3 linked regions of the Oryzias latipes genome follow. The protein of the gene in region 1 purifies or fractionates together with the protein of each later gene. This does not show direct contact. Links are inferred from orthologs where the notes say so. Each region holds a gene or a part of one and is shown on either strand. Other genes may lie near its edges.

Evidence for each region.
Region 2: the proteins of fibp (region 1) and cdk5 purify together in Homo sapiens (affinity purification with mass spectrometry; 7 studies listed by BioGRID and IntAct, counting the BioPlex papers as one, with this or other methods). This does not show direct contact. The link is inferred for Oryzias latipes from reciprocal best matches to the Homo sapiens genes FIBP and CDK5.
Region 3: the proteins of fibp (region 1) and c2cd5 purify together in Homo sapiens (affinity purification with mass spectrometry; 3 studies listed by BioGRID and IntAct, counting the BioPlex papers as one, with this or other methods). This does not show direct contact. The link is inferred for Oryzias latipes from reciprocal best matches to the Homo sapiens genes FIBP and C2CD5.

The regions. Positions count from the first base shown.
Region 1 is NC_019868.2:11,647,815-11,652,082, reverse strand, and holds the start of fibp (acidic fibroblast growth factor intracellular-binding protein), read left to right. Parts: upstream 1-1,411; 5' UTR 1,412-1,487; coding exon 1,488-1,505; intron 1,506-2,097; exon of another isoform or gene 2,098-2,454; intron 2,455-2,579; coding exon 2,580-2,664; intron 2,665-4,268. UniProt on the Homo sapiens protein: May be involved in mitogenic function of FGF1. May mediate with IER2 FGF-signaling in the establishment of laterality in the embryo.
Region 2 is NC_019875.2:27,780,568-27,784,032, reverse strand, and holds the end of cdk5 (cyclin-dependent-like kinase 5), read left to right. Parts: intron 1-437; coding exon 438-507; intron 508-629; coding exon 630-690; intron 691-778; coding exon 779-859; intron 860-1,071; coding exon 1,072-1,158; 3' UTR 1,159-2,905; downstream 2,906-3,465. UniProt on the Homo sapiens protein: Proline-directed serine/threonine-protein kinase essential for neuronal cell cycle arrest and differentiation and may be involved in apoptotic cell death in neuronal diseases by triggering abortive cell cycle re-entry. Interacts with D1 and D3-type G1 cyclins.
Region 3 is NC_019864.2:19,276,878-19,280,445, forward strand, and holds part of c2cd5 (C2 domain-containing protein 5), read left to right. Parts: intron 1-740; coding exon 741-833; intron 834-1,871; coding exon 1,872-1,904; intron 1,905-2,208; coding exon 2,209-2,340; intron 2,341-3,568. UniProt on the Homo sapiens protein: Required for insulin-stimulated glucose transport and glucose transporter SLC2A4/GLUT4 translocation from intracellular glucose storage vesicle (GSV) to the plasma membrane (PM) in adipocytes.

The sequences.
Region 1 (4,268 bases):
GAACATTTTGTGACGATAGACTTTTTTTTCATGGGTTTATGCTGAGGCATTCAGCCACATCCTTCCGGCCTCTGTCCCACCTCCATTGTTTCAGTGAGGCCACAACAATGCAGGGTGTTAACCCTGCAAGTGGGAATCTGTGCATGGACTCTGGGTGTCATATGAGGTTAGAAATGAGAGTGTTGACGTGCTGCAAGAGATCTGAGAAAAAGGACACAATGACTGGCTCTTTTTTTCTCCCCATGTTGCGATTTTAAAGGACACGCGCGGAAACACAGAAAGGGAGGGTGAGGAGAGAGATTTACAGGGATTTATTTGGATTAATCCCCAGAGGAAAAGAGAGCAGATTGTGTACAAGCAAGCAGCAAAGCAAACCATAAACTGTAGAGTTGCTTCAGGCAAATATGTCTATTTTTGATGTTATGAAGTTTGTAATGAATTCATTAATGCAAGAACAAAGGTCAGCCAGAAAAATGAGCGGTGCTGTAAAATGCTCTGCTGCAGACCGTTTTGATTATTCACCATCATTTGATTTTAAGCTGAGAGAAATAAAAATGTAATGAATTTGTGTTACATTAATGGGAAATTAGTACAGTTGATTGGAGCTGTTTGGTTGTTCAAATAATCTTATTGAAAAATATTTTAAAAAAATGAATGAATGGAGTTGTACTGGGCTGCACACTGGTGTAGTGCTTAGCTCCTCACAGCAAGAAGGTGTTGGTTAAAGTCCTTGTTGGTTAGCTCTGTTTCCTCTCTCAGTCCAAAAACATGCTTCAGTGGTTGTTTGTCTGTGTGCCTGTGATGGACTGAAAAACTGACCATGTGCGCGTCGCCCTCACCCTGAAGCAGATTGGATAGACCACAGCCTCCTCTGTGATCGTGCACAGCACAAAGCAAATGCAGTAGATAAATGTTACCATACGTTTCACTATTAAATTAACTATTAATGGGGGGAAAAAAGTATATCACATGTAAATCACATGTTTCGGCTGTTTTCTAACTTGCAAAAAAAAATGTTTAGGTGTGCTTTTCTTGAACTGTAGCAGCAAATAGCAATTAACATTTTCTTGTGTTTGTTTGAAAAGGAAAGAAAGTATGAGATGATATAATTTAATAAGAATATTATATCAAATTATGTTGCAAACAAACTAAAACAAACAAAACTCCAGCCTAATCTTCAAACATCTTCACACACTTTGAGCAAAATGTCATTATAATACTGTATATATATACTTATTACAGCATGTATCCTATTAAGTATACTTTTAAATTGTTGCTGTAAACTATACATTGTTTGTTCCCAAAAGATTGCCCTGTGTTATTTAGATCTCGAAGAACTGTTCCAATTTACTCTTTTTTTTCTCCTTTTGGCTGTTCGCTACAGGACAATATCCCTCTGCATCCTCCTCACTGATGCCAGCCAAAACTCATGTTCTCTTTCACTACATCGCTGGAGTTCCTGCAGGAGTTTCCATAGGGCCTTGGTCATGGCAGTAGGAGTGCAGGTATCCTTTTGCAAATATATTTTATAGTTCATTCTTCATCTGAATCTTCTAAATCTCGTTTTCCTGTCTTTTTTCACCAAAACATTCGAAACAGTCCCTCTGATAAACTAATGCCTGATCCTACCTGTTATTGCCAGTCCTATAAAGAGAACCTAAACATGTTCAGCTCTGCCTCCAGTTTGTTTCTCAGAGCCTCTGTCTCCAAACCAACAACATATCTGTTCTCCCCAAAGTCTTCTGCACCTTTTCATTCATTCTTGATGACAACTCTAAACTGTTAGTCACACCTGTTCATCTCTGCATTATTCCAGACAATGCATTTAGAATTGTCCACCTTCTTCACCTTTACATTCTGTAACCTGACAGGGACACCTACATTATTAAAAACTCTAAATTTAGAATTTAGTCTAAAAAATTGTAAATTCTGTTTGGTTTGTGTATGTATACACCACTTAAGTGAGAGATTTCTTTTGGGGGGAAAAATTATCAACTTATTATAACATTATAGATATTTTATCTTTTTTTATTTTATTTTGCAGCCCCGCTTCATGATTTCATGCGATTGGCTGAGACTTCCTATGACGTCACGTCACCGGAAGCTCGTGTTAGTGTGTTGACACTGCAGAGCCCAAACCACAGAGATCGAGTACCGTTTTATCAGAGATGTTCGTGCTGTAAACTGCTTTTTAAGCCTACGGCAGTTGTTTGATTGCGTTTTATTTATTTATTGTTTTTTCTTTTCAATTTTGTGCCATGTCACAGTTTCGTCGTATGATAGTTTTTTTTTCTCTGTAAATGAACGGATGCTAACTTTGCTACCTAGCTAGCACTGAAGCTAAAGCCAATTATCGATGGCGAGTCCACCAAAGCCCAGCTAACAGAAACCAAAGAGTTACTTTTAATCAAAGGTTCTTACATAAAAACCAGTTCATTCAACGCTGAAAACAAGGTAGAAAATAGAGTTGTAATATTTTAACTTGTCTGAGTTAGTTTAATTTCTGCTGTTATTCACTTAACCTGCCTTAACTTAACCCTATTTTCTAACGTCCGGTTCTTTTTCTTCGACCTTCACAGATGGCAGTAGAACTGGATGTGTTTGTAGGGAACACCATCATCATGAGCGAAGAAGTTTACCAGCTCTGGTTGGATGGATACACAGGTAGGAGAGTAACAACATCCTCCGTTTGATCTTCTAATAACACTTGTCTGGTTGAGACATGATGTCATGTCTGTGACAGCTGCACAACATGAGAAGATGATCACTGTTAAAATTACTTAATTAAATAATTAAATTAATTGTTTGCATCATGGTCATCACAACTAAAGGGATTTGATTCACAAGTTAGCTTCATATTTAACATAGTTTGGATTGAGGATTTATTATTAATTTTAATTTCCAATACTAAATCTTTTTGTTTAGTTATGAAAAATAGTTTTTATCATGTAATGATCTAAAGTGGAACTTAATTTGATAAGGATATTATAACATTTAATAACGAATAGAACAGTAGTTTTGTTGCCAAAAAATTCAAGAAATTATTGTAATGTAAAATAAATCAAATTCGTGGATTCCAAAAGTCTGCATTGTAAACTTTACAGGTAAGGTTGATTTGATTCATTGTTCTTTTAAAAACTCTACTTTAGTGCCATGGCATTAGCTTTTGTATTCATAAATAATTTTGAAAGTACTTTTAGTTAAGTCATTTTACAATATAATAGTTTTTTTTCTTTAAATAGGATGATTATTTTTTTAACTTGGAAATTGCATGGAAACGATTTGATGCAGTTAGTATTTTTTAACATGCAAATAAATTATTATATAATAAATATTTTCAGCAAATCATAAATTAATCTATAAAAATGAAAGAAATTTTTTGCAAAGATGATGAAAATAAAAAAGTAAAACAAAGCATACATACATGACTTATTTGACTAAATAAAATATTTGATCATGAACATAAGAATAAGTATAATAAAGAAAATACTTGCTTCTGGTGTCTATTTTATTTGGAAAAATTAGGAAAATTGCCCTCTGTGGGTTTGGCCTTAGTAACTAAAATAGTATCTGAATTATTTTAACAAATAGAAGATTCTACAGAAATAAGAGAAATCTATAATTAATTTGTTCACAGATGAGTTAAGGATGACTCTGATTAGATGTATGAACACACTAACAGTGATTTTATAAAAACATGTAATCTGTGTCTGTTTATATTTTATATTAAAATCTAAGACCTCAAGAAAAAAAACGTGTAAAAGTGAAATTCACTGTTAATTTCACCGTCTGCACAGATTATACTCTTAGATTTTTATACTCTACATACCAATCTATTTGAGTCAAAGTAAAAAAGTCCAAATGTTGAGCTTTTAAGTGTATGATAATCATTCCTCATGAGAAGAAACCCCAAAGCGGTGTTTTGATCCATTCACGCATTTCTGAGTATTTCCATTAAAAACCTGCTTTCTGATCACCAGCCCATCCAATCCACAAATACAAATGAGACAAGCAAAAGAGCTCTGCAACGGAGCTAGTAAGAGCTATGTCCGGTGAATTGGTGCGGTATGGCGAAGCTTGGGAATCTTAAATCTTATGATATTTTTCTTATTTTCATCGAGACAATAATAAATCGATCATTCTTGTTTTTAGTTTTTCCCCTCTTGAACGCATGTGGGTCACAGAGACACGGAGATAGCGGCAGAAAGCGGCTTTTGCAGCAGGATGGACTGCGTATGTGAATGAATCCAGACAGGGAGACCCGATTA
Region 2 (3,465 bases), on another chromosome or scaffold:
GAATTATGCCTGTTTACATCCTCTGTCCTCCACTGAATGTAAATGTATGCAATGTCTGGAATTGGGTTTTGCATAAGTAAATGATCATACTGCGGTGGTGAAAAAGACGTCAGCATCGAGCACATAAATATCAAACACAGGTTTTCTTGTACTCTAGTTGGGATATTGTCTTCTGCAATTAATGTAAATCTATAGGATCAACGTATCAGCTGTGTAGGATGGTTTACATTCAGCCTTGCTGCCAGCTACAAAGCATTTCATGTGTTGGAGATTCAAAAAAAGAAAGGAAAATGGTGGAGCCGTGGGCTTAAATATAGAAGCTCTGAACCTGGGATTAAAAGATGTGATCAGCTGTCTAGCACTTCCTGTTTTGTCTAACATATGATGCATTTTTAGAAACCAGATGAAACCTCATTGCTTATTCTGCCGTGTTTCAGAACTGGCAAACGCCGGGCGCCCTTTATTCCCAGGCAATGATGTCGACGACCAATTAAAAAGGATCTTCAGATATCCTTTCTTTTTTTCTTTCAATATTTTTACATGCACTGTCAGTAAAAAGCCAATTATTCCCATTGTATGATAATAATAATCTGCTTTGAGAAACATTCTTCTTTAAGTGTTTTTGATACATTGTTGGGTACACCAACGGAGGAGCAGTGGCCAACAATGACAAAACTTCCAGATTACAAGGTAAATTAATTCATCCAACTTTTATATCAATTTACTTTCTGAATCAACTGCTAACAATTTTCTTTTTTTTTGTTTGTTTTCTTGCCAGCCATATCCTATGTATCCAGCAACCACCTCACTGGTTAACGTGGTTCCAAAACTAAGTAATACAGGACGGGATTTACTACAGGTACTCCAAACGGGCCTCTTTTTTATATATTGAGTTATTATAGGGGGTTTCATTTTAATGTGATCTTTGAGGAGTTTACATGTTACGCTGTTTAAAATCCTGTACTTCACTTCACTCACTTGAGTTGACGTAGTGATACTTGGAATTTGTTTTGGGTTTTTTTCTAAGAATGTTTTTCGCTCATTAAAGTTTTTGTCTTTGATCTTATCCAGAATCTGTTGAAATGTAATCCTGTCCAGAGGATCTCTGCAGAGGAAGCCTTGCAGCACCCTTACTTTGCCGATTTCTGCCCACCATAAAGGCTGCGCTGCCCCCGCCGAGCTGGAGCTGCAAGAATGAATAAATAATCCTTCAACCTGTCTGGTAGTTAGGACTCATTCAAATAAGGCAAATCCCCCGACTGGCTTTCAAACGCTTCGCTTTTGCCTCTGTGTGAAGCAAAGCCTCAGTGGTACTTTATTTTTTATTTTTTTTTACATTGGAACCATTTTATACATGCTTCCTGATTTACAACATTAGATACATTCTATAGTCTTTAATTTATTTCTCTTTTTTCCCCCCTCCAAAATCAATTTAAGACCATAAAATAAAGAGAAAAATTGCAAGTTGCAGTGTTTACAGTTCACTTCATAACATGGTACCAGTTTGCCATGAGCTAAATTACTTTAAAACCTAAAGCATTGGCTTTTCAAATGAGGTGAACTCATTTTGAGTCCTCATGCAAAAGCAAAGAAATGAAACCCTGCAGGAAATGAGTCTGAAAAAACTGGATGTCATTGGAGATGTTTCGGACGAATCGGAACATTTTTTTTATTAAATACCTTCCTGTCCAGTAATTAACTAAGACAGCTACTTTTAATCGTTGTAGACGGCGGGTTTACACGACAGACAAATGTCAGTTAGTAACTGAAAAATGCTTCACCTTTTTGTTTAGGTTTAGAGCTTTTTTTCCTGTTATTTGGGTTTCATCAAAGCAAAACGGAACAAAAGACCTTCAGAGAAAATGTTTTGTTTCTGAAAACTGAAACTGCAACCAAATATTCGGCCTCTATTTATGAACACAGATTATTAAACCGCTTACACTACCCCCTTCATCCTTTTCTTTCATCTCTGATCCCAGTTTTCTTTATTCCCAGAAAAAGGAACTTTTCATTCTTTTGGTCTGGCTTTTGATTTTCCGTTTTGTATGGTTTTGGGGCACTTTGTCACAGAATAGACATGCTAAACGCTGGCAGTCCAGATTACAGCTAATCCTCAATAAAAAGCCTTTTATATATTTAAATGACCAATAGTGACACATTGCTTTTTTTTATCATGTTTATATGGTTTACTGGAATGCTTTTATAATTATAAATGGCAAAAAAAATCACTAGTTTTTATTTCCATGTTACACAACTGTCATAGTAACATTAACTTGCTGCATTTTTTTTTAAAATTTCAAATTTAACTGCTTTTTTTCTTATAAAAGTGAAAATACTGAGTGCAATCTGAAGCAGCTCTCTAAGAAGTTAAAGTTTTACTGATGTTGGTAAAACCAGTTGCATGTATTTATTAAGGATGTTTTAAGTACTTTTACTTTGGCAGTTAAGCATTTTGTGTAGAGAATTTAAAATAATTATTCTTAAATTCCACTTTTTTTCAGTATTTAAAATAAAAGTTGAATGCACATAGATTAAGTTATATGGAGAGTTTGCTTTTTGTACTTTTTTTTTACAGCTTTTGCACTTTGCCTTTTTTTTGTTTTTTTTGCTTTTGCTGGTTGAATTTGTGACATATCATTTAACTGTGAGTTTAAACCAGGAAGTATTTCATGACTTCTGCATAAAAAAACATGCTTGCTTTTTCTTTCAAAGTAAATAGCTTGTCTATTCTGTCCTTTCAAGTGTTGTAGAAAACATGAATTGCATGTTAAAAAAAAAGAAACGTGGTAGGTGTGCAATTCCAGTAAAGATGATAGAGGAATGTTTTAAAATACATTCACTGCTTTGCTTAACAGTTTTAGATACAATTGCAATAAATCAGCTTTTATCTGCTTGCTTGATTTTATGTTTGTGAATGTTTCTTAAAGTTTTGCCTCTGTTCTATACATTCACTTAGGCTGGCCCAAATGTCTCTACTGTAATCTGAAAATCAATGCTCTAAAACACAGTTCGACTTAAGAAAGTACAAGAAACACAAAGCTTTTTGTTGACTTTAACTACATTTTCCGCTCTAGTTTCCTCAAATAGATGGCTGTGATCACATATAGTTTTATTCACTAAAAGGTTATGGATGTATATAAATATATATTATAAAACAATTAACATCTGTGCATTTGATCAAATTAGTACCAAACTAAATTTAACGATTACAGGTCAGCTGTTAAATGATCGTTAAGTTTGAAACTCAAGTGCCATTTCTATATTTTATTAAAATTTTTAATTCATTCCAGCATGTTTTATGCATTTGGGAGTTTATTAGCATTGCCAGCGATATTTTAACGTTACGTGTTCATATTGTATTTCATATTGGTTCATTCAGTTTGAGCAGAGAATTCATGCATTACATTTTCCAAATGTTCTGGGGGAAAAAAGGCATGAGCACTAAAGGAACGCCACTTTTGTGAT
Region 3 (3,568 bases), on another chromosome or scaffold:
GAAAACAACACACGATCTTCAGATCGATCAGATATAAAACTGAACCCATTTTTTCTGTGAACTTTAGGTTTAAACAAGAGAGAAAAGTGACATAATATTATTGTATATTCAAAAGAAAAGCCTATTAAATGTATAGTGAAGGGTTTTACAGCCTTACACACCTTTAATCCTACTGTCTACATTTCACCGATCGCTTTATGGAGCGTATATCCTGCAATAAATAAGGGAACATTGCAACCATAATTAAAAGACCTTAGGAAACGCTTTTTCAATAGCTCCAAAAATGACCTGAGTGGGGCTTAAAGTGAGAAATTTATTCCACATTGCATCTGGAAGTATCTCTTCCTAGATGGACAAATGCAAATCATTACTATAAAGAGAAGGTAATATTCTAAAGATTTGACGGGAATGACAGATTTAATTAAATATTAAAGGTTTTCTTAATTGGAGCAACCATGCATTTTTCTTTCTCAAAGGTTATTACCCCGGTAAATCTTTCATTTTTTTACTTAAACCATCAAACACGGTGATGATTAGATTCTTCTTTTCCAGAGGCATTTCCCTCATTGTAAAGTTTAAAAAACAAATCTCAATTTAAATAGAAACAGTCAAGTTTATCAGGTTTTCTCAACAGCCTCAAATAACTTCTGACTCCATGCAGCCGTGGTACTACTTACAGTTACACGTGTCTCACATTTTCCTTTGAAACCCTGCCTATTGACAATGAAATATCTTCAAAGGTTGCAGTGAGGCTGAAGACCAGCTGCAGTTTTCCCTGGAGCTGTGTACAGATTCGTCATCCATCAACTCTCAGTCTTCCTCAAAAAACTCAGGTATTTTACTCGCTTGTTTCTAGCAGCGTCCCCACCTCCTCCCCTGCTTTGCTTGACTAACAGGCACTGCCCAAATCCTTCACTGATACTTCTGGTACATTGTCTTTAATCACCCCAGCTGCAAAACTCAACCAAAATCAGCTGATTGTGGTTCGTTCAGCAGGTAACCAAACAGTGATTTGAAGTAGGCTGTGTGTTTTGGTTTTGCTGTGACTGTAGATTATGGTATGGCTAAACTTCCATCAAATGGACACGAGCGCTAGTATGGGGTCAAATCAGGATCAGCTCAAAGTGAATGAAAAACCAGATTTTAGATTTGGGGGGAAACTGCTTTAAACTCAAAAGTACACATTTGAAAAATATAAGTAAATAGTTAAAAATTGGAAAATAAAATACATTTTATTGTGTATTTTGTTTAGTATTTATGAACATTTAAAAAACATATATTTCAAACTTGAAGGAAATGTTGAAAAGAGAGCGTTTTTTTTGTATTTCCATCTTTTGTTTTTTTGTTTCTTTTCCTTTTTTCACTTTCTGTCCTAAATTAACTATTTCAATTCAGACTGTTTGTTTTTTTGAGCTGTGCTTTATTTTCTGTGTGGGTGGGTCTTTGACCCCATTGGCCACCCGGACCTGATTGACATCAGGAGACGTGATAAGGGGGGGTCATTTCCACTCCAAAACCGTGCTGCCTGTGCCAGTCCTCGTTCTGTCAAATTGAAAATATTTTTTATATAATTTATACATTTATTTTTAAAATTGAAATATTTTCAATATTTCTTTAAAGTGTTTACAAATAATTTTTTTTTTCAATTTTAATATTTCCTTCAAATTTACAATGTGTACTTTGGAGTTTAAAACTGTTCAACTTTTAAGAGAACTTTTTTAAATTTGCTATCAGATTTTCATTCACGCTAAGCTGATCCTGATTTGACCCCATATGCTTGGAGCGTTTACATTTGGCGTTACCAAAATGCAAATTTGCATTTTTTGCAATGCACAAAGTTAGACATGGACGTCTGTTTGTTTGTGTGACAGGTGTTCCAGAAAGTTCTCATTTGTCTACCAGAGGTAAGTCTGCTTTCTTGTCTTCTACCTACCGCCCCCTCACACACCTACCAACTACCAAAAACGACAACACAGCCTTATTTTTACTTCTCATCCTTTTGTCTCTGACAGTTCTCTTGCACCACTCCCAAACCTCATCCACTTTTGTTCTTTTTTATCTTCTGTTTCTTCGTTTTCTGTGTATTGTTGTTTTTGATTTGTCTTTATTTTGGATGCCGTTTGTGTATGTGCGGGTGCGGGCTGTGTCCACGTTGTTTTGTGTGTGTGTGTGTGTGTGTGTATGTGTGTTTGCGTGTGTTCTCTCCAGCTGCCTCCGTTGATTACGGTTCCTTTGCAGACAGATGCAGCACCTGGCTAGAGCTGCTTAGGCTGAAAGCTCACACCATAAGACGAGGATCAGTTAAGACAAGTAGGAGGACACAGTCTCTAGCACACTCTGGTGATCATACTCGCAAACACAGAACACGGTTTCACAAAGCAATCGCACAAGCTGACATATGCACTTACACACCCCTCTGTGCATGCTGTTTGAGGGAGGGGGGAGGGGGGAGCATTTTAAAATCAAGCTGGAGTGTGAAAGTTGACACCCCGCTTCTCAGGAAGATCACAATCAGCTGCTTAGCTTTGAAACAACCGTAGCCCCAGTCACCACGATGATTTCTTCTCTCTCCTTCTGTAGACTTGCATGATAAGCAGTTCGCTAAAAATCCTTTATCTCTTCTCTGCATTTGCATCTGGAAAATTCCGAGAACAGTTTCCACTATTTGAGTGTGAATTCTTGGGGGGGGGGGGGGGGGGGGGGGGGGGGGGGGGGATGTTCGAATCACATTTTCCTGCACACTGTTGGTGATTATTGTGGGGCTGGGTGCAACGCTTTCCTGCGAGAGCTGCAATGATTTCCAGCCCTCTGCATACAATATGTGTAGTGTCTGGCTCTGAAGGTTCGTGGTGTCCGGATGGAAGCCACCTCAGGTAACTGCAGTGGAGCACCTTTCACACTCTGGTCCGTGTCCATGTGCTCAGCTCTGCTCATAGCTGTTTCCCCGTGCGTCTCCATGCCTCACAAACGGCAGAAAGAAAGAAGTCCTCTTTCCCCACATGTCCTCCACCGTAAATACTGCATTCACACTTTGTTAACAGCTGTGCCCAGGTCTGTCTGTCTGTCTGCAGACATCGTCTTCCTGTCTGTCTGCTTCGTTGACAAAGCATGGCAACGCATGCTCTCCAAGTGATTGTCTCATACGTACACCTCACAGCATGAACGCTCATGTCATCCTGAAACTAAAGACCCACACATGAGCAGTTGAGCCAAATTCAGATTTTTACTTATTTTTTAAACCAGTTTAAAAGTTTATTTGAATTCTTGATCATAAGCAGACAATTTATAAATGTCTTTATGCAAACTGTTTAATGACCCACTTCGATGGAAGTCGTTTTTTTGGTGTTTTTAACATTCTTGTGCGATTGCTCTGATAATAGAGGACAAATACCAAGCAAATTCAGCGGAGCAGAGGAAAAAATACATTTAAAAAAAGATTGTATTGGTGACGTAGAAAGCCACAAGCTCCCTCTCTGACAAATAGATCCATGTACGCCTTCGTTTTCCTCGTCTGAGCTGTCATCTGGATACGACTGGATATGGCGCAAAATTTTGCTTGCCATTTTTG